Linked DNA regions of Diceros bicornis minor. The protein of the gene in region 1 purifies or fractionates together with the protein of each later gene. This does not show direct contact. Links are inferred from orthologs where the notes say so. Each region holds a gene or a part of one and is shown on either strand. Other genes may lie near its edges.

Region 1 (7,877 bases):
AAGTTCCTTCAGGAACTGACCCTGGTACCATGCTAAGCATGCAACATACATTATCACATTTTTCACACCCTCCCCCCTTTTTTAAATTGAGTTATGTCTTGCATGCAGTAGACAGATACGATTATAGCTCAGTGAATTTTTATATATGCATACACCCATGAAACTACCACCTGGATCAAAATAGAGAATTTCTAGCATCCTTCTCCTATCAATACCTGCCTCCCTGCCAAAGGTAACTATTATTCTATCTTCTCTAACCTAGATTAGTTTTTGCCTGTTTTTGGTCTTCATTTCAATGGACTCATACAATAAGTACTCTTGTGTCTAGCTTCTTTTGTTCAATATTATGTCTGTGAGATTCATCCATGGAGTTATTTATAGCAGTAGTTTTTCATTGCTGTTTAGTATTCCATTTTTATGAATACTATACGACGGTTTATTTTTTCATTTTACAGTTGATGGATTTGTTATTTCTAGTTTTCTCCTCTTATGAATAAAGTTGCTGTGAACATTCTTAAACATATTTTTGGTGGACATAAGGATTTATTCCTGTTGGGTATTTGTCCAGAATTGGAATTACTGAGCCATTCAATATATGTATGTTTAGCTTTAGTAGGTACTGCCAATTTTCTGAAGTGTACCAATTTGAACTCCCATCAGCAGTGTGTAAGAGTTCCAGTTGTTCCACATTCCTATCAACACTTGGTATTGTCATTCTCTTACGTTTAGCCATTCTGGTGATTAAAATAACTAATTTTCACAAAAATCCTGTGAGGTAGGTACTGCTATAAGCCCCATTCTACAGACAAGGAAACTGAGGCCAGAGAGGGAAAGCCATGTTTGCCTCCTCTTTGATCCCACTCACATCCCACAGGATGTGAGCAGCAAGTGGGCAGCAGCAGGTCTGCATGATTCCTGTGCACCTGTGGCCATATGAAACTGTAAAGTCTGAAAACTCAGGTATGCCAAAATGATAGCTCACTTATTTTCTTAATTACTCTGTATAGTACCTATTTCCATTTGATAGCAGAAATATAATCTGGTCACTTCCTGGCAAATTCAGTCAAGTAAGTGTATGATCACTCAGTCATTTCAGTCAAGTTGAGGGTTCTGTCCCTCTTCTGATATCCAGGGTCACAGCTACATTCTGCAGAGCTTATGTGCTCATGGCATGGAGTGGGAGGGGAAGGGGCTGGAAGCTGTCTGGTCGTTGGTCATCATCCATCTTCCTCTACTGCTCAGGGAGGCAGGCAGACCTCACCCCTACCAGTTGTGCACTGTCATCCTTGGTTTCTGCTGTCCCAAGAGATGTCTGCATTTGTGCCATGGTCTCTGGTTTGGACTGTCCAGGTTTATCTGCTTTAGTGCTCCCCTTATTACATCCCAGAAGCCCCTTCCTGGTCATCTGCCTCCTCTTTGAGCAACATCCATTCTGTTTTAGGGCCTCAGGACATATTTTGATGATCCTTGGGATCCTCACACATTAGGCACAAGCCTGAGATGCTCCCAGACCCACCTGCCTAGGCATACTCAGCTGCCATTTCTACTTGACTGCTGCCATAACTTCTCATCACGGAACACTTTAGACCTTACAGACTAAGATAGATTCTCTTCACTCTTAGAGACCCCAAATCTTTCTGGGGGTCCTAATCATTCCATATCCCTGGATTGAGGGGATAGGGGGAATGAGTGGGAGACAGTCCCTTTTCAGAGACCCACCCCAGTAGCTAACTACAATGCTCTCTTCTCTGCCTCGATTTCATCCCCACTCCCAGCCTTTTGGAAAACTGACTCTGGCATCATCATACCTCCTCTTCCCAACCCTGCTGTTGCTAGTATAAAATTTAAGATTTGAGTCCTTCAGCATCTTGGGCTTTCAGTGCTCCAAAAAACCTTCTTGTCTGAAAAGCTTTGGGTTTCAAGAGTCCATTTTGCAAATCAAGATCTAAGAATTTGACTTGTTTTTCTTTGCATTCAGCACCTTCTCCTCTGGAGTAATATGGTGGTCTGACTTTAGGTGGAAGGCTTAGAGTTTGGCAAAAAGGAAGAAGGAGGGGCTAAGCAGAGGAAGGTGAGGCTCAGAGAGGTGAAATAACTTGCCCAAGATCACGTAATAGAGTCGCTGTGCTTACCTCTACCAGCGGAGCAAGAGAGCAGTGGAGTGCAGCCAGGGGATCTCTGACCATGGGGACGGGATTACTTCGTAGCTTACATGCTGTCCTATGGGTTGGAACACACATTCAGAGTCCAGAGTCTGTCCCATGGGTGGGTGCCTCAGAAAGGGAGTGTGAACTGAATTTTAGATGCACTGAGAGGGCTGGTCCTCATAGGAATCGTCCCATGAACCCTTTACAGCATTGAAACTCTGTTTACAAAGGGAGATCACCTCTGGAAATGAATTCACCATAAAAAACAGATTTTGCCACCTGGACTGCTTCAATCCAAGGCCTTTAGCTTCCCTGGAGGTAGTATGCTGGTATCAGTTGTAAATCAGAAAATATTCCTGGCATTTGAGGGTTAAAATTCAATATCTGGGCTGTGGTGGCAGAAGCATAGCTGGGATTGGAGCCTCAGCCCTCCTCTGCAGTGGCTGTGTGACACTGGGAAAGTCCTTGCTCTTTGGTTGCATTTCCTTCCTCTCTAGAACAAGGAGTTTGATAACATGGTGTGTGGAGTGATTGGAGTAAGTATGAGACCTCAGCCTTCTCATGGCCAGCTCTGGAACCAGAAGCACCCCCCCCACACACACACACACCTCCACACACCAACGGGAGTCTGTGGGGGCCAGTCCTTTCTGACCTGGGCTAGTGATTATGAATAAATGACTGGGGGTGAGTGATCCCCAGCCTGCATCCTACAGTCCCACAACTGCCTTGTTCCTCCTGAGTGGAGGGTTTGAAAGAGGATACGGTTGATTCAGAAAGTGTAGAGCTAAACTAGTCACCTTTGACAGACACTGCTGGTCCCTTCTTAGCAAGGCTTCATCACTGAGTCCCTACTACAGAGGTTTCTCAACTTACCTTGGGCTTGAGAATCGCTTGGAGAACTTGTTTAAAAGACAGAAAAACCTGCCCCCAGGGAGTCTGATTCATTAGCTCAAGAGTGGACCCTGGAATCTGCATTTTTCTTGACCTGATGCCAATTTATTTTTGAAGTAAAAACTTTTTGAATATGTAATACATTCATATGGACCGAAATCCAAAAGGTAGAAAAGGGTATAAAGTGAAAAATCACCCAAACCCCTGTTCCCCAGTCACCTGGTTCCCCTCCCCTGAGGCAAACAATTTCTTGTGTATCTTTCCTGAGAAAACTATGCATATAATAGCGTATATGAGTAAATGAAACCTGCATTTTAAAAACAAGCCTCTCTTGATGATTCCAATATTGCGGGTCCCCAGACATATTTGGAAAAACATACACCTCCTTTACAGGCCCTGGGCTGGGTCCTCGGGCTAGATGTGTGACCTGGCACTGCCCAGTCCTGTTTAGGATGCTCAACAAGAGTTTACCAGGTGCTACCTTGTATGCCATGGGCAGCGGAGCAAAGGGGCTCCAGTGGGCCTTGCCTAGGAGACCTGAAGCTCAAGCTGCTGAGGGCAAGGCTGTGTTGTAGAGAAAAATTATGAGAGCTGTAGGTCCTTTCATCTTCCTGTCATCAGCTGTGGCACCGGGCAGACACTGGATACCACAGCTTGTAGACAAAGACCTGGTAACCCAAGGAGCTGCTGGGCCTCCCTGCCCAGTCTCATCCCAGAAGAGCTGTAGGCCTCTGATTCCTTTCCGGGCCCTGTGTGGAAGCGTCTTTTGTCTCCCTGGCGTCAGGAATACCATCACGTGCTTGTTGGTTAGGTGAGCCGGGCGCCTCAGTCTCCTAGGGAGGGGTGGCAGCGTTCCCGGCCAGAGCAGGGGAGAGCGGGCGAAGTCCCTGACTGGCTGGCTGGGGGTGGGAGTTTTCAGACTAGCCCTTTCCCTCCCTAGCGTTGGATTCCTCCAGTGGCCCCTATCCCAGCCTTCAGAGAGCATCCCATACAAGAGTTCTGGCCAGGCTGGACCCTGGCTGCCTGGGTCACTGCCAAATCCCCGCACTGTGACACACACACGCGCGCGCGCGCGCGCGCTCAATACACGTTTGCTGAAGCAGTGGATATTCACTGCCAGAGAGAGGCCTCCTCTCAAGACTTGGGGTTTCCCTGGAACAATGGTTATTTGTGGCCTGGAGGCCTCTTCAGAAATAAATGGTAGGAAATGAGGGTTAAGAGCACCAAACTATGGAGCAAGGTTCAAATCCTGGCTCTGCCACTCAACCGTTGTGAACCTGTTCCCTCACATACAAAGGAGAAAAAGGCAAACAATATTTCACCTCATGGGTTATGGTGGAGGATGAGCTAACTCTTCTTGGGTTCAGAGGACACTGAGGCCCTGAGCGGAATCTCAAAGCAGTGACTGCAAAGCGCAGCTGCCTTCCTTCTTTGAGCCCCAGTTTTCCCGTCATGAAAGACGAGCCGCACCCTGACCTCATCCACGCCCCCCTCTCCGCTCCACACACACTGACACTTTCTAGGCTTTTCACGTCTGGGGTCTTTAGTTCGGCTTAGGACAGACCCTGCCTGAAGGGCCCCTGCAAACCGCGGAGAAGCCCAACCAGTCCCTCGTTCCCGCTTTGAGGAGGGCGAGCAGCGCTTTCGAGGGTGGGGTAAGAATGAAGCCCCGCCCCCGCCCCGCCGCGCCCGCCCGCCACCGCCTCTCCGCCCGGCCCGGCCCCTCCGTCCTCCGCCTGCCGTCAGGCGATCTCCGCGGCCAGCCCCGCCGGCTCTGTGACGCCGCGGGCCCCGGGGTCCTCGGCGCCTGCGCCCGCCATATAAAGGCCGACGCCGCGCCGCGTCGCTGTAGTGGCCTTGTTGTCTGCTTTTCTCCTGTGTGTGCTGACGCCGCTGTGCCCCCGTCAGCCTCCCGCCCGCCGTCTCCTTGAGACCCAACACCGTAAGTAGCCTCTGACCGAGCTGGAAGGGGCGGTGGCGCCGCGGATGGCAGGTTGGGTGCCCGCACCGAGGCGGGAGGCACCGGGGCCTGGCCTTCCCTCAGGCCCGGTGGAACCCGTTGCAGACCCCGTTCTGCGGGAGGTGCCGGCGGGCCCCTTCTCCCGCCCCGCCCCTCGACGAGGACTGTTCTGGTCGCGCGACCTCGCGACGCCCGGTGGGCGCCCGGGCGGGCAGGAGGCAGGAGGTGCGAGCCGAGCCCGGGATTGGGCCTTTTCTGCGCACAGCGAGCGTTCGCTGGCGCGGAGCTCGGCCGCAAGGCCCAGGCTGCGGCCTGGGGCCTCCCTTTGCGTTGAGACTGCGGGCCCCGGTGACCCAGGGCGGAGGTGGCGTCGGGGCTTTTAGTGGAGGGCCCTTGTCTGTCGTGAGCGTGGGCGTGTGTCCGTGTTGTTGTTTTGGTGTCGGAGGGAGCGTGGCGACGGTAGTCCGGAGCTAGGGAATCTCGGCTCCCATCCTTTCCCCTGGGTCAGGCGTCACTAGTTGCCGATGCTGGCTATCTGTGCTGGGGCTGAATCTTTGCAGATAGCCCCCTGCTCCTTCTGAATATTTCTCTCCGTTATTTTGCCACAGCCTGGAGTTGCTGAAACAACTATTGTAACAGCAGATACTGTCGTCATAGTGATGTGGCTTTTAGGAGCCCCAACTCTGTAAAACTTAACTCGAGGCGTCTGGGTCTCCAAGGGATAGGACGTTTGCCTGATTTAGTTCACTTTTTAGTGGAGACTTAAGGTTTGGGTTTTGGGGTCATGCAGTTTTCACCAGAGCTTCACAATATAAAGTATCTGTGTCGTAGAGCAATGCAGACTTCTCCACTCTGCCCTCTAAAAACAAGTGTCAGAATTTCAGGGCACTTGAAACACAGGTTTTTTTTCTTTATGATGTTGATAGAACCCACTTCCTGCCAGCCATGGAGGGTGATTTAATTTCCAATTTCAGGAGCCTAAGGAATTGGAGAAATGGTCTTGAAAGCATGTCAAATCAAAATTTTATCCATTGTGATCTGAAATTTTTGCACTGAATTCCAGCTGTGTAACACTGAAAAAAGTTCTCTTTGAGTTTTAAGTCTAGGATTACAAAGTGCATTGAATTACAGATTAACCGATTGCCTCCTTGCTATTTAATAGGATCTCAACTCCCTTAAGAGTAACCTAATAAACAAATTTGACTATGACTAAGCAGATCTTGCTATTTATCGAGAGTTATTTGAAAGAAGTATGAAATGGTCGTCTTGCTTAAAAGTAATTTTATCAACTGCTTTACCAGACTCATGTTTCTGTAATGTTCGTTCTGGTGCTTTGGAATATAAAAAGAACATAGAATGTTTTCTAAGTAAAAATTGGGCTCTAGTGGGGATGCCTTTTGTTGTTGCCTTGTCACAGGGAAGGTCCTCTGCTCTGGGCCCTTCATTGAGCAGGACAACTGCATTATTGGCAAGCACTAAGCAACATGGAGAAGCAGACATATTTGTGAACTGAAAAGTGAAATGCGATTCTCTCCAACCATGGTGTAGTGAGAACAGGATATATCAATGGCTGGTTTGAAAATATAGTTTTACCTTTTTGCTTCCTTTCCCTAACAGCTTGTCTGTTTGGGGGATGGAAACAATTGTCTGGGAAAAGCTGAATGAATATTTTAACTGATTTAATGGGTCTTAGGCCTTTGAACCTAAAATGGGTGCAATGACTGTTTTAAATGCCGAATTCTACACTTTGAAGTTAATAGGGACATCACAGGATTATGAATACCTGAAAAGCATGGAGCTTCAAAAGCAATACTTAAAATTTGAAGAGGTCTTGAATTAATCTTTACAATCACATATTGCTGCCCTTTCCTCTCCTGCTGAAGACTCTAAAGATGGTAAAAAAAAAAAATTGCTGGCTTAGAATTCTTAATTTTAAAGAGGTTTTATTGTTTTTTCCCCGGAACTTAAATTCTTTGAAGTTAATTGCTTAATTAACTTTTATGTAAGAGATGTCTTTTTCCTGGTGACTCATAATTAATCCGAGTTAATAAATACATTTTTGGAGCAAGTAATAGGTTATTATTATGAGGATTTCGGCAGAAGATCTCAAACTGGAACACCTGGACAGTCAGAAATGAAGTATAAGAAGGGTGGTGAAGTTTAAGTTCCTTATTTGGTTTAGGGAATTAGATTGACATCTGCTTATTCTTAAATCTTTTACTGTCTTATATATGGTCTTGCATTGATCCAAACATAAATAAGTATATCCTGATCTACTTTTGGGATCTGAATGCATTTTTCACTGTTAGGTCTCACAATGGGAAAAGTACTCCCTTATTTGATTGCTTTGTTTATTTTGGACTGACCTTCCTCAGGTTTGCAGGTGGTTAATTGTGATAGTTAACTATTCAAATGAGAGTAGTCAGTATTCAGTGAGAGCAGAAAGGCAGACAGAAAGTAAGTCCATTTGAGATCTATTTTGCATCAAAAGTATAGAATGTAACCCTTAAATTTATACCAGTATTGAGTTCAGTAGGGCAGGCCTTAAAAGCTTCTGTTCCTAGGAGTTAGTCTTTGAAAAAATTTTATAGAAACACTTGTATGCTGGCCTGTGAATTACCACTTACAGTGTTTTACAGAGGTATCTACTACAGTTCCTTAGGATTTTATAGTTAATAAGTTAGAGGGCTTCTAACAGACTGTAGTTGATGAAATGTAGAGAACTAATATCTCTTAAATTTCAAATTCAATATAGTACTTTTTTTTTAGATGCCTTCAATTAAGTTGCAGAGCTCTGATGGAGAGATATTTGAAGTTGATGTGGAAATTGCCAAACAATCTGTGACTATCAAGACCATGTTAGAAGGTAAGTTTATTAG
Region 2 (7,916 bases), on another chromosome or scaffold:
AAGGATATTCTCCTATATAATCTTTTCAAAGCTTTACTGTTTTTTTTTTGTTGTTACCGCTGTCAAGTCAACCATCAAGTTGACTCTGACTCCTAGTGACGCTGTGTACAGCAGAGCTGAACCTTGCCCGGTCTTTTTGTGCCATCCTCTCACCTTCTGGCGCTCTATCAGACAATCCTCCCTGCTATTCGTAGGGTTTTCATGGCCAATTTTTTCAGAAGTGGGTGACAAGGTCCTTCTTCCTAGTCTGTCTTAGTCTGGAAGCTCTGCTGAAACCTGTCTGCCATGGGTGACCCTGCTGGTGTTTGAAATACTGGTGGCAGAGCTTTCAGCATCACAGCAACATGCAGCCGCCACAGTATGACAACTGACAGGCGGGTGGTGTGGTTCCCCGAATGGGAAGCGAACCCGTACTGCAGAGGTGAGAGCACTGAATCTTAACCACTAGACCATCTACTGTTTTATATAATCTACCTGAAACTGATTTGTGTGTATGTCCCAAGATAGCTGTCAAGTTTCATTTTTTTATGTTGGGATATCTGATTGACCCATTTCCATTATAGGAAAAACCACCTTTACCCTACTTCTTTGCAAAGACATCTCTGTCATGATTAAATATCCAGATATGTGAAGGTCTGTTTCTGGGTTCTCAGTTCTGAGACTTTTGTCTATCTTGCTCCAATTCCACGCTGCACTGGTATCATCGTTACCATCATCATCATCCCCAGCATCATCATCCCCATTTTACAAATGAGGAAACTGAGGCACAGAGAGGCTAAGGAACTTGCCCAAGTAATTTACTAGTTAATGGCAGAGCTGGAAATAGAACCCAAGGAAGCCGGTTTTTGGGTCCATGCCCTCGTAATAGTTCAAACAACAAATCTCAAAGCAGGCTCTACGGGAAGTCTTAGAAATAGGAAAGCCGCAGCCGCACACTGCGCATGTCCCGTAACTAAAGAGAGGAGGGTGGGGCTCTGGGGCTCCCGGCTCAGCCCCAAACGGAGCCACCGCGTCTTTCCCAGACCCACCACCAGAGGGCGCAGATAACTTAAACTCGCCAGGGTCGTCCCTCCCGCCCTCCCCTGGTTGGCTTGCAACCAATCATAAAATATTTACCCAAAGCGCAGTTCAAAGACAATGTAAAAAATTGCCTAATCCAGTCTCCAAGCAGGACTACAGCAAAAGGACAAAACTGGACTGATTTCAGTTTTCTTAAATATCTTCAGTGAAGAAAGAAACTTCCCACTACCTGGCTAATTTGTCTCATTCCCAAACCACTTTATTATACTAAGTCCCTCCTTGAATCTCTTACTCTTCCTAGGGTAAACTGGATTCTTTTGTTCTACGCTTAGTGGAAACAAGGAGCAACTGTTTGGCATCCTCATGGCAAACTCTTCAGACATGCTTGTAAATAACGACGTGTAGAGCTGTAAGGTCAAATCTCAGTTCTCATTTCTCTCAAAGCTATAACAGTACACGATTACATGTTACCTCTTAGCAATGTACAGGTTTCTTTGGTCTCTCTCCAATTTCCCTATGTCCTTTTGAAATGTGAAGTCCCAAAGTGGACTTTGCACTCCAGTATTCCACCCGTGACAGATTTATTTCCTGATTCTTGAATGTTACCCTGTTAATATACGCAAGCAATGTGCAATCATTCAATAAAGTAACTCATTTTTTATCAACCTGATGAAAGATTATATAGGTATTAAAATAACAATCACAAAGGCAATGACATAGCAATATAGAACATGCTTAATATTTCATTTAAAAAGCCATGCAAACACTGTACTTCTGCCTTGATTAATGCTATAAAAAGACGCTTATGGACAAAGTCTAGAAGGTAACATAAAGGTAAAAACAATAATTGACTTGTTTGGTTTTGGGGGTTGATGGTGATTACTTCTCTCTGTTTTGCATTACTGGTATAATTTTGAGGACTTTTTAACTGATTAAAATCTTTTATTCACTCAGCAACTTATGGAGCACTCATTATGTGAAAGACCCAGGGCGAGGTGTTGCAAGGAAGACCAAAGCAGACACAGATCCTGCTGTTTAGAATAATAGAATAATAATAAGCTGATACTTATTAAATGCTTACTATATCTTAGCTACTATTATCATCCCTATCGTATAGGTGAAGAAAGTGGGGAACAGAGAGGTCAACTAGCTTACCCAAGGTCACACAGAGTAAAAGTAGAACCAGAGTTTGAACACAGACATTGCAAATGTGCAAGCCCTTGGACTTAACCACCATACCACACTGCCTTTCATGAGAGCCTAAAAAGACAGAAATAGATAAATAACATTCAATCATTCAGCAAATATTGATTGAGCATCTACTACATGTCGGGGACCAAACTAGTACTGAGAAGACACTAATGAGCAAGATAAGCACAGTCCCTGCCCTCATGGAGCTCACAGTCTATAAAGAAAGCATCATAGGAGTTCAGAGGAGAAAAAGAGAAGACTACTCATCTTTGAGGCTGTAGGGAAGAACCATCTCTTACACCCTCTGTTCCATTCCTAGCAGAGCATCCACCTTGTGGAGAGAAGAGGAGATGGGAGAGGGAGGAACACAAAGTCCCAAAAGAAAAATAACGAGAGGTGGCATCTATTCATTCAGCAAGCATTTGGAGAGGGGATTCAAAAGTAAAGCCAGGGTCAGGACTGGTGTCTATGCAGATACCAATAACCAATCTGTAGATAAGAAAGAGAGAGTGATATTTAATGAGCTAATGTGAGGACTAGCCCAGAAGTGCTCTCTTCCCCAGGGAGGAAAGCACTCCAGGGAAGCATGGTTTACAGCGTTGTTATATATGAGTTCAGAACGAAGAACATACATCAAGCATGACAGGAATACAGTGTTTTTTTTCCAAAGTCACAAGGAGATGTTTTGCCTCAATTTAGTACACACATAGCAGGTCAGCTTGACCTTAGTTCTCTGGGGAAAAACAAAGCTAATCTTCACGGAAGTACTGGTATCAGAGAAAGGGAGACATTCACCCCTCTTTAAAGAGTGCAGTTGTTGCTTTGGGAAAATCTTTGAAGCAGATGTACAATGCGTGTTTGGTGGGCCATAAGTCAGACTGCTCTGGGAAAAACAAGTTTTGGGCCAAATCAAATTTAAACCAGAATGGCTTCCTCATATACCTCAATATGTGAAAACTTCTTATTATTCTTATTATTTTCATCGCTGGGATAGACCTTTAAGGTTCCTGTCAACCTGAGACTCTAGTTCCTGTTCAATTTTGACTCAAATGTCTTCAAGCATTGAGTGCCAAGCACTGAGCTAGATCCTGGAAATACAACTATAAGTAAGCCACGGCCCCTGCCCTCCAGGAGTTTATAGTCTAATGGGGCAGACAGACAAGTAAGAAGTTCCAGTAAATGTACTAAGGCCAGTGATAAGAAGCAGCACGGAAAGAGATGAGGCACTATGCCGGCTTGGACCAGACAGCAAGGAAGTGACATCTTTACTGAGCGGTGACACAGGACAAGCTGGAGTTCGAAAGTGGATGGGGTGGGGAGTGTGATCCAGGCTTGAAAGAACAACTTGGCAAAGTCCTGGAAATGAGAAATCCTAGGATCGCAACGATGCTCTGATTTATAGAGTGGTGCCAATTAATGCCACTAAATTGCTGACTAAATTGCTAAATTCTTTCATTGCTCATTCCCAAGTTCAGAAAGGGTTCCGAGCATGGGCACAACCTAGGGCCAAATTGAAACAGACTCTTCACTTGATAACTGCAGAGCTCCACCCTGCCTAGGCCATCTTAGCCCACCGTCACTTCATTGCAGGTGTTCATATGCTTCTCCTGCCATTCAGTCAGTGGGGCCGTCAATCAGCGAGACCTGCGCTAGACTCCAGAAGAATAAGAAGCCTCAACCCAATTCCCCAGGGGAGGATTGGGGACAGTGTCCTCCACATCTTTGAGTCCAAGACGAATCCACCACAGTGCTTTGTGCACAGTGGTACCACTGGATCTACTAAACATAGAACTAAAAGAAAATAAATTCATCTGATGGAATAATTACTATCTCAACCCACGTCCTCCACATTCGCAGTCCCTACTCCCAGCCCATCTACTGCTGCGCATCAGCGCACTCCACCCCCTTCTCAGACTCTGCCACTTGCAAACGACAAGTTGCTCAGCGCAAATAGAAGCGTAGCTTTGTGGATAAAAGCAGAAGATTTGGAATCAGAATAATCTGGGTGGAGTCCTCTTATTAGATTTATGATATTGAGCAAGTCTCTCAACCTACGGCAGCCTCAAAGTTTTCTTCGTCTGTAAAATGAGAATAAAACAGCTCTTTCACTGGAGTTTTTGAATGAACGCAACTGGGCTGAGTTGTGTAGTAGTAAATGAGACAGTCTATGTAAGGAGATTATCACGTTGCTTGGCATATAAAATACACTCAAATAGTAGAATGCTGCAGATGATGTAATAGGGTGAAGGCAGAGGAGGAGGAGGAGGAGGAGCATGGTGCTGTAGGACGGCCGGTTGTCAGTCCTGTAAGTCACTGGCTGGACTGGCAAGCCCCACCAGCTCAGGCAGTTTCTTCCAGCGGCAGGCCTTGAACAGGACGCGCGTAAGAGATCCGCTGCCCCCAGACTCGGTGCACGCCCAGACCTCCGCAGGGAGGGCCAGCCTGCGTCACCCGCCCCGCCCGCCGGCTCCTCCCCCGCCGGCGGACACATGGTGGGAACGTGATGGGGCGGGGCCGAACTCGGCGCCGCTAGGCCAATCGCCAGGAGGAAGGCACCCAGCCAATGGCAGAGGCGCTCCAGGGCCAGAGGGGCGGGGCCACAGGGAGGAGCGGCGGCGTCATAGGTCACTGGGCGGGCTGGGGGCGGGGCCCGCGGCGCCGACGGGGCGGAGCAGCGGCGGCCGAGCAGTCCCGGCGGTGATGGCGGCGGCGGCGGTCGTGACGGGGGCAGGGGGGGCTCCGGCGGCGGCGGCGGCGGCGGCGGCGGCGGCCGGAGCGGATGGCGCCTCCTCGGTGCACTGGTTCCGCAAGGGGCTGCGGCTCCACGACAACCCGGCGCTACTGGCGGCCGTGCGCGGGGCGCGCTGCGTGCGCTGCGTTTACATCCTCGACCCCTGGTTCGCGGCCTCGTCCTCGGTCGGGATCAACCGATGGAGGTGAGGGGCCAGGGACGGGGGTGCGGGCCTGGGGGACGCAGCCTGGCCGCGGGGCGCTCGCGAACAGCCCGGGCCCCCCCACAGAGAGGGGGAAGCTCTGCCCCGCAGTCCCCACGGCCGGAAGACTCCGGCCTAGGGAAGCGGGGCAGGAAGACCCAGCGGGGTCCCCAGAGGGGAGAAGCCAAGATGGGGAAAGCAATTAGTCATCGTGCCAATGGCCGGGGGGGACCAGGGCTCGGCCTCTGACAAAGCGCTTCCTCACTCTTTATCCCCTTGGGCCTCACAACATTCCAGAGGACAGAGATCATGGTCCCCGTTGTACAGATGAGACTCTTGAGCCTTAGAGACGCAAAGTTGCCCTGCCCCAGGACTTGCGGCCAGTGCGTGGCAGACCGGGGACTCCTGGTCTAGGGCTCTTAGGGGTGCGCTCAGGGCGGGGAGAAAAGGAGATTCTGCGCTGTGAGGGCAGGGACGGGTTTCTGAATCCATAGCACAGCAGACGCGTGCACTCTTCGAGTAAAGAGCCCATTGCTGGGCTCCTGAAGGTCGTCTCTAAGCCTCTGGTGTGTTTGAATCCATCTTTTCACCGATGCCGACTGCCCTTCCACCAAGACTATCCTGCCTCTGGAGGTGTCTAGAGACTCTGGCTTAGCATTAGATAAGAAGGCAAGTGCCCTCTCCTATGTGTTATAGGTACAGACCCCAAGGCCATGTTCAGTTAGAGGCACTTTGTCTCCTGACCTAGAGAGCAGGACTGAACCCATTTTGGAGAATTCCCTCAGCAGCAGTGAGCTTGCTAGGAAAAAAAAAAAAAAACACAGTGTTACTTCCTTCCTCCCCTTCTTATGAGACTGATCTTAAAGGACAGTTGAACCACCAAAGATTAGACTTTTATCAACTGATGTGCTGAGGTCAGGGAGCAGGAAAACTGCTATCAAGGGCCCGTCTTCGATTACTCCAGGAAATGGAGTTGACAGGATCTTGGGAAAGGATTCACAGATAGGTAGTTGATGTATTTTCTCTGTAATCAGTGTTTAAAACCAAGGCGTTCTGAGACATCGTGTACTCATCTGTCATTAAAACATCCCACAGGAGTCATTCGGTTTGTTTGCGTGGTTCTGGAGGATGTTTGCTGTGGCCATATTGCGTTGGGCAGGGTTATTCCCAGGATACAGTGGCTCTCAGCACACCGTCCTTCCCTCTCCAAGGTGTGTGCCCTGCTGGGAGAGTGAGGGCTCTAGCAGTGGGTCTGTGAAATGCCCCCTCCTGCCCCACTTATATAGAGAGAACAACTAAAGATAGTCCTGTGGAGAGCCTGCCCACACAGTTTTCAGGCGGCTCTGTTGCTCTGTCTCTGCTCCAGTTTCTATAGATAGGAGGTTGGGTTCCACAGACATCCTCAAATGGCCATCTAGCAGGAAGGTTAAACTGAGCCTCAGACTTTGCCCCTCGCTTATGTCAGTGTGCCAATCCGAGCAGAGTAAATAGATCAGACTATCGACTTGTTACACTGTCACCAAGGAGTTTCTTTTGTTGGATTTTGGGGGACATCGCAGAGGACTGCCTACTCCTTTGTGCTAGTAGAGATTAAAAATCAGCAACAAAAACTCTTGCTGATTAAACTCCGATTTGCTAGGAACTAGATGTTTATGGATTTTTATGGGTCATGCTTTTGTGATTGTGCTTTCAAGCAAGTGAAGGAGAAGTGGAATGTGGCAGCTCAGATACCTGAGTCAGATCCTGAAGTCAGAGGCCGTGTAGGAATGCAGATTTTAATTGAGCAATTGTTTTAATGAGTGCCTAATATCTGCTAGGCACTGCCCTAGGGGCTGCTCAGGTCACAGCAGTGAACAAGAGGATGCCGTGTCCAGAGCTCCTGAAACCTACATTTTAATGAAGGAAGACAAGTAAACAACCATAATTTAGTAGAAGTGCCATGAAATAAATAAAATAGGAGGATGGACTAGAGTACTGACTCTCAACTTTGCTGCATATAGCAATCACTTAAGGATCTTTAAAAGATGCCTCACCCCCCTTCCCCCAGTTCTGATTTAATTGTTCTGGGTTATGGCCTGGGCATTAGGGTTTTTAAAGCTCTCAGGTGCAGCAAAGCCTGAGAAGCACTCGACTAGAGAACCACAGACCTGAGCCCGACAGCTTGGAAAATGTGTTGCTGTGCATTGGCAGGAAGTCTAATTAGTTTTGGCATTCAGAAGAAAGAAGTGAAATGACACAAACAGATCGAATGTAATAACTGCTCCTGGGCCTGGAAATAGACACACTCCTCCCACCCCCATACTCTTTGCTCCTTTGATTGGATGGAGGGCACTGCTGCACGCTCCTTTATGCACTCGGTTGGGGGGAGTGATGGAGCCAGCCATACCTCTGCGTAACTCGAGTATGTGTAATCTTCCGGGGGCTGTTTCTGGATCCAGGAGTGATCTGGGAGAATTGCGCTGCAGCACAGTGTCCTCACTCTGCTTCACTTGCTGAGAAGCCTCCCTAAGAAGGGTGGGCCCCGGGCCATCTGCAGGATGGAGATGGCACCAAAATCTGTGATCTCTATTATCTCCTGCGCTTCCTACACTGACTCCCACACAGCGTTTTTTGGCGGATGAATCAGATTAAAATAACCATGAATGGCACTTTCTAAGAGTAAAAGAGGACAGAGAGAGGCAATTAAGAAATATGTATGTTTATGAGCCTAGGAGAAGGGCTGGCATTCTCCTTGCTTTGGTGGTGGTGGGAAGTTTATGGACTAACTGTAGC
Region 3 (7,050 bases), on another chromosome or scaffold:
GCTCCATGGGGAGTGGGGGGATCTACTGGGGGGCCTGCCAGCCCCAGCTGGGCTAAGCCATCCTGAGGAGGGAGTAGGGAGTGGGCAGTGAGAAGTCCCAGGACTAGACAGCACTGACTCCCTCTCCTGGACCCAGGTGGGAGGGGGAGGAGCCTCAGGAGACAAGAGACCTTGTCCCCCACCCCCTACACACACCCTGGTACTTATAATTCTGGGCTTCGCATGAAGGGACTCAGTGACTGCCCTTTGAGGGGCTAGGGCAGCCCCATCACTCTGTCTGGGCGGCAAACGGATCTGCTGTCAGAGCTGCTCCTTCTAGGAGGAGGAAGGTGCTTCTCAGAAGGGAAAAGTGCTGGGTCACGACCCAAGTTGCCAGCTGGCAGGCCCCCTTTGCCCTCTTGTTTCCTGGGATTCTGACCCAGAGGATCAGAATGCGGGGATCTCTTCTCTCCACTGCTGTGTGCTGATGGGGCAGGAGATGGTTCTAAGGAACCGGTGTAACTGAGCCGGGGGCAGGGACACCTGGGTTCTGCCAAACTTAAAGGCAGCCATCCCACCCAGGGTTCACCAGAGGAGAAATAATCCTAGGGGTGGAGCGAGTTGCTCAGGAAGTCCTTTCTCCCAATCTCTTAGCAGGGCAGCAGGCCTTGGAGATATGGCAGTGAGCAAGGCTGACCTGCCACCCCAGAATTCAGTCTGATAGAGGAGGAAGACAAGGAAAGAAGGAAACAAGTGAATAGGTCCTTGCAATACAGCGTGTCAGGTGCTGTGAGGAGGAAGCCCAAGACGCTGGGAGCAGAGAAGACATTGCCCCTGCATGATGGTGGGGGCTTTCCAGAGGGAATCATGACCATGCAGCACTGTGGTAGAGGCCCAGGATCTGGCACCAGAGAGATCCATGCTGGGGCCGGCCTGGTGGCATAGTGGTTAAGTTCATGTGCGCCACTTTGGCGTCCCGGGGTTCAGCCCGGGATCCCAGGTGTGGACCGACACACCACTCATCAAGCCATGCTGTGGCGGCGTCCCACATACAAAATAGAGGAAGATGGGCATAGATGTTAACTCAGGACCAATCTCCCTCACCAACAAAACAAAACAAAACAAAACAAAACAAAACAAAACAAAACAAAACAAAACAAAACTAGAAGGACCCCCTAGCCAAGCGCTGTTCCTTCAGGAACACTGCTTCTCAGCCCATTGTTCATTCGTCTTGTTCTGAGCTGGCTGCACGTGGTGTAAACCAATAAAGACTATTTAAAAAAAAAAAAGAAAGAAAGAAAGATCTGAGCTTGTGGCCCTGGCAAGTGGCTTGATCTCTGTGCGATTCTTTTGGTCTTTCCTTCCACAGGCACAAGACGGCTGCCAAAGCATGAAGCACTTTTTCTGTGCTCTTGTTTGAGGAGGAATATCAAAGGGGTTTGATTTATTTTGTTGTTTGTTTTTTTTTTTTTTTTTTTTTTTTTGGTAAGATTAGCCCTGAGCTAGCATCTGTTGCCAGTCTTCCTCTGTTTTGTAAGTGGGATGCTGCCACAGCATGGCTTGATGAGTGGCATGTAGGATCCAAACCCGCGAACCCCAGTCCTATGAAGCAGAGCATGAAGTCAACCACTATGCCACTGGGCTGGCCCCACTTTTTTTTTTTTAAGGTACTACTTCCACACGGCAAAAATGCAAGCAGCACAAAAGTGTATATACAGCAACATAAAGTCTCCTTACTCTCCAGACCCAGCCTCTCCCCAGGGGCAACCACCATTAAAAGTCTCCATTTCTGAGTCTCTGCATCTTCAAACATGTGTGATATGGAGTCTCCCAAGAAGATAACAAAATTTTTCAGATGTTAATAACATGTTCCAATGGAGATAGGGACTTTATATTTTCAAGTACATGCAATGGGTTAAGTTATGTCAAAGAGCAGAAACAAACAACTTAGTTTTTATATAGGCCTTTATGTATAAAGCAAAACACATTATAAATTGTGTATGCATTTTATTGGAGAGAGAGAGAGAGATATATATATCCAGTGGGATCAAACTATATGCACTTGTTACTGCCCAAGGGGGCGTCTTCTGCCTGCTGCAAGACATGCCAATAGTCAAGAGGCAAGGTGGTAGGAGAGAAAGGACTTTTTATTACAGCTTGCTAGCAAGAGGGAAGACGGCCAACTCATGACCTAAAAAAGCCATCTTACAGCACAAAGATTACAGGCCAGTTATATAGGGGGCTGGTCTCCTGGTGGGGGAGGCATCTGGTCTCTGGGTGGGGGCATCCATCTGATCTCTGGGTGGGAGCAGATATCTGTTCCTGATAGTCTGTTTAGTTCCTGATAGTCTTTTGTTTTACTGGATATGCATCAGAGACCGGAGCAACGCCCTATACCCAGATCTTTCAGTTGTCATTAATGATGGCTATCAGCATAGCCTCTCTGCCCGGGGGTCATCACATTCCTAAGGAACTCAAAAGAACAAAGTTATCAACTTATAGCAGCTGGGAGGGGCCATAGAATCCACAGAGCATGTCAGTTAATCAGAGGTCATTCAAAGTTACAATAGGGTTTCTTTCCTACAATATGGCTTCCCTCATGTCAACCTCGTGTTGAACCAGTATCACACTGTCCTCTACACTTTTTGTTTTTTAAAGCAAACAATATCCTGGAGAGGATTCCAAACAGCACAGAAAGATCTACCTCATTCTTTTTGACATCTTGAAATCCTAGAAGTGGGACTGTTGGGTCCAAACAGGGGCTGCAATCTCCTATTGCCAAACAGCCTTCAAAGAGTTTGCATCAATCCTGCCCCATCTGTGGTAGCTGAGAGGATCTGTTTCCTCACACCAAGGCCAGTGTGGGTATTTTCCAGCTTCTTCATCTTTCTTAATCTGATAGGTGAGAAACCAGAGTGTTTTACTTTTTATTTATTTATGGATAAGTGTGAGCATAAAGATGTATTTTTTTTAGCTTTATTGAGGCATAATTGATATATAAAAATTGCACACATTTCATGTATACATCTTAATGAGTTTTGCATTTCTTTTTAAAATAGTTTTCAATTTTAAAATAATCTCCAATTCCTGCTTTTGTATGTGTGTGTGTATTAGAAACATATTTATTGCCATTATAGGCTCTTGGGGGAGTGATTTAACAAAATTAAACTCACATGTCCTTTGACTCATCAAACCGACTCCTGATTATTTATCCTATAGAAATAAAAGCAGGATATACACACATACATATATATGTACATACATATATAATAAAGAATACTTAGCTGCGTTATTGTTTGTGGTAACAAGAAGTCTGGAAGCAACTTGAATGCTCATCAATACGGGAACGTTTGAATAAGTTTCACTACCCTTATGAATTGCTATTTTAAAAATGAGTGATCTACATTTGGTGGGAGGGTCAGCTCAAGACAGCCTCTGTGAACAGTTTGGCAGTATCAATCAAAACGAAAAATTCAACATGCACTTTAAAAAGCTATCTCGCTTCTGCAAATTTATCCTCGTGTATATGCATCAAAAACTATGATTAAGTAAAAAAGTTAAGACCTCGCTCTCCGTCACGCCCTCCGCTCGACGTCTGGTCTCTCCACCCCACCCTCCCGGCTCGTCACCGCCTTAGCCTCGCCTTCCGGGCTTGGTCCTCGTCCCGTCCTTAATCGCGCCCCTGAGCCACCGCCCCCCCGTTAGCCACGCCCTCGGGCTTCGTCTCCCACCCCAGCCACGCCTTCCGGGCGTGTCCCTCGTCCCCAGCCCCGCCCCCAGAGCCTCGTCCCCGCCCCTAACCCCGCCCCCGGGGTTCGTCACCCGCCCCCCCCCGGCCACGCCTTCCGGGCTTGTCCCTCGTCCCCAGCCCCGCCCCCAGAGCCTCGTCTCCGCCCCTAACCCCGCCCCCGGGGTTCGTCACCCCCCCCCCCGGCCACGCCTTCCGGGCTTGTCCCTCGTCCCCAGCCCCGCCCCCAGAGCCTCGTCCCCGCCCCTAACCCCGCCCCCGGGCTTTGTCACCACCCCGGCCACGCCTTCTGGGTTTGATCCTCGGCCCCAGCGAAGTCCTCAGCTTTCGGTCCAGACCCCGAGCTGGTGTGGAGCTGAGGCCCAACAACGTTCGCGCAAGAGGAAAGCCGGAAGTCTCCGCCGGCTGCCGGAGGCCGCGGCTACCGCACTGCCGAACCCCCACCTTCCCCCGCCTCCTGGGGCGCCCCCGGGGTGATCCCCGAGTCCCCCTCGCCGGAAACGGAAGTGCGTGTCGGCCGGATCATGGCGACTTTCGCCGACCTGCCGGACTCGGTCCTGCTGGAGGTCTTCTCTTACCTCCCGGTCCGGGACCGGATCCGCGTCTCCAGGTGAGGAAGGGCCGGGCGGGGGGCGCGCCCGGAGCTGCGGATCCGGTCCCCGCGGGGCCGGGGTCGTTCTAACCGCGGGTCCCCTCCCTCAGGGTCTGTCACCGCTGGAAGAGGCTGGTGGACGACCGGTGGCTGTGGCGACACGTCGACCTGACCCTGTATACGGTACGTGGGGCCGGCCTGGGCCGCGGTCGGGTGGCCGGACCTCGAGACCACCCCTCTCACCCTGGGTTTCGAGCCCGGCAGTCCCGGGCGCACTCCGGTCGCGTCGCTTACCTGCTCCTCTGCGACCTCCCGGCCTCAGTTTCCCCATCTCCAAAATGGGGTAACCGAGATTGTGCAGGGAATGGGCACCGTTAGTGTCTGGCATATAGTCAGCATACGATAGATGCTGGTTGATGATTACATTATCAAATATTATTATTATTGGTGAGTTTTCATGGAGACATAATTTTCCATAGTCAGCTTATTTCCAGAATTAATTTCCTGAGTAGTGCAACCGAACCATTTCTACTTTCCCGCATTCTCATTTTTCTTGTTTTTATTATGAACTATTTCAAATATGTAGAACAATCATGTCCTCGATTTAACCTATTTTAACCTTTGCCCTCGTTTACTGCAGATCGTGTGAAACACACATACAAATGTTTATGTGTACATATATGCATATAACATTTATAGGTATATTTGTCGCACTTTTTGGAACCCTCCTCAGAGGCAACCACTATTAGAAAGTGGATTTTTATCCTTTTACATTTTTATTTACTTCTTGTGTGGGTGCCCTATATAAACAATATACAGTATTGTTAACGTGTTTCTAAAGTTTAGATAATGCTATTCTACTATTTAGATATTTAAATGCTATTTTAGTTACACATCCATCTACAACTAGCTTCCGTCACACAACATTGCTTTTGAGATTTATTCTAATTGGCGCTTGTAATCTAGGTCATTCTTTTTAACTGCTGTTAAATTAATATACCACAATGTGTTCATCTGTTTTCCTGTTGACAGACATTTAGTTTATTTCCAACTTTTTATGATTACAGTCTTAAAAGTGGTGTCTCAGACTTTACTGTGCGTATGAGTCACGTGGGGATCTTGTTAGAATGCAAATTCTGATTCAGCTGCCTAGAGTGGGGGCCCCAGATTCTGAATTTCTAAGAACCTCCCAGGTGTCACTCATGCCACTGATTCTTGTTCCGTGAGAATGTGCTTGTGTCCGTCTTCTTGTGTCCAGGTAGGAGTTACTCAGAAACCTAGAGGTGCAATTTCTGAGGGTAGGGTCGTTTATACTTTATCATCTTCATTTCCTTATCTACAATTCCAGAATCAAAAAGTCTGCAAAGTGAACAGTTTTTTTGTAAGCTTGGCACAAATTCATTTGGTGGCAAACCCTGACCTGAACTAGTGTGAGGCAAATAATGTCCTTTTCCTTATCCCGCTGGAATAAATAGTCTTTTTTTTTTTTCTTGCTGAGGAAGATTTGCCCTGAGCTATCATCTGTTGTCAATTGTCCTCTTCTTTTTAATTTTTATGTGAGCCGCCACCACAGCATGGTCCCTGACAGAGGAGTGGTGTGGGTCCGTGCCTGGAAACTGAACCCAAGTCCACGAAGCCAATGGACTGAACTTAACCACTAGGCCCCCAGGGCTGGCCCAATCCATTTTATTCAAGTGTGTTTCAAAATAAGTTGCAAACATGGGTCCACTTCATCCCTAAACACTTCAGCACACATAATAGATTAACTAGAACATTTGTTTTACAGTCCTCTTTTTTTTTTTTTTTTTTTTTTGTGAGGCGATCAGCCCTGAGCTAACATCCGCCAATCCTCCTCTTTTTTTGCTGAGGAAGACGGCCCTGGGCTAACATCGGTGCCCATCTTCCTCCACTTTATATGGGACGCCGCCACAGCATGGCTTACCAAGCAGTGCGTCGGTGCGCGCCCGGGATCCGAACCAGCGAACCCCGGGCCGCCGCAGCGGAGCGCGCGCACTTAACCGCTTGCGCCACCGGGCCAGCCCCTACAGTCCTCTTTTTGATATATAATTTATGTACTAGTGAAAGTTTATTTTAAAAAAATCACGAGTCACGAATAATTCTCCTAGTAAGAACGTTGAAATATTGCCACAGCTGAAGCTAAGAGCCTTTGACAGTCATCCTCTGGTATCCTCACCCCTCCCCAGAGGAACCACTATAAGGGTGGAATATTTCCTTCCATCCCATCTTATATGCGTTTACATCCTTGTGTCTGTGTAAGGAGGAAAGAGCAGTGGTTACAAGAGCAGGATTCAGCTTTGGAGTCAGGCTGTGTTGAAACTTACCTCTTCCTCTTGCAACAAGATTCTAGCCAAGATTATTTTTCCAGGGGTATTTACTACATGACCAGGTAGTTCAGTGATCAGTGCTCTAGTTCATTGCTCAGCGCTGTACCTAGCAAACAGTAGATACTCAATAAATGTTAGCCGTTATGTCGGGGAATAGTTATACCCAGACAAAATAAATGGTATTGTTTCTTTTTTCTTTTATCTATGAGGCATTATTTTGCCACTGTTTCCTGCCCATCTTGAGAAATTACCCGTGTTCGTATCTCTAGATCTGCTTTGTTCTGAATTGCTGCTTAGATGGCTATTATCTTACCAATGTACATTTTAGTTTTTTTCCTAGATTTTGCTGTTAAAACAGTGCTGTCAGAAACCAGTGTTTCTCAAGG

The links. Proteins that work in one complex are often made in the same cells at the same time.
Region 2: the proteins of SKP1 (region 1) and CRY2 purify together in Homo sapiens (co-immunoprecipitation; 3 studies listed by BioGRID and IntAct, with this or other methods). This does not show direct contact. The link is inferred for Diceros bicornis minor from reciprocal best matches to the Homo sapiens genes SKP1 and CRY2.
Region 3: the proteins of SKP1 (region 1) and FBXL12 purify together in Homo sapiens (affinity purification with western blotting; 10 studies listed by BioGRID and IntAct, with this or other methods). This does not show direct contact. The link is inferred for Diceros bicornis minor from reciprocal best matches to the Homo sapiens genes SKP1 and FBXL12.

What each region holds. Positions count from the first base shown.
Region 1 is NC_080740.1:53,332,581-53,340,457, reverse strand, and holds the start of SKP1 (S-phase kinase-associated protein 1), read left to right. Parts: upstream 1-4,877; 5' UTR 4,878-4,980; intron 4,981-7,767; coding exon 7,768-7,864; intron 7,865-7,877. UniProt on the Homo sapiens protein: Essential component of the SCF (SKP1-CUL1-F-box protein) ubiquitin ligase complex, which mediates the ubiquitination of proteins involved in cell cycle progression, signal transduction and transcription.
Region 2 is NC_080770.1:24,329,859-24,337,774, reverse strand, and holds the start of CRY2 (cryptochrome-2), read left to right. Parts: upstream 1-4,911; coding exon 4,912-5,147; intron 5,148-7,916. UniProt on the Homo sapiens protein: Transcriptional repressor which forms a core component of the circadian clock.
Region 3 is NC_080769.1:9,233,097-9,240,146, forward strand, and holds the start of FBXL12 (F-box/LRR-repeat protein 12), read left to right. Parts: upstream 1-4,045; 5' UTR 4,046-4,251; coding exon 4,252-4,337; intron 4,338-4,429; coding exon 4,430-4,502; intron 4,503-7,050. UniProt on the Homo sapiens protein: Substrate-recognition component of the SCF (SKP1-CUL1-F-box protein)-type E3 ubiquitin ligase complex.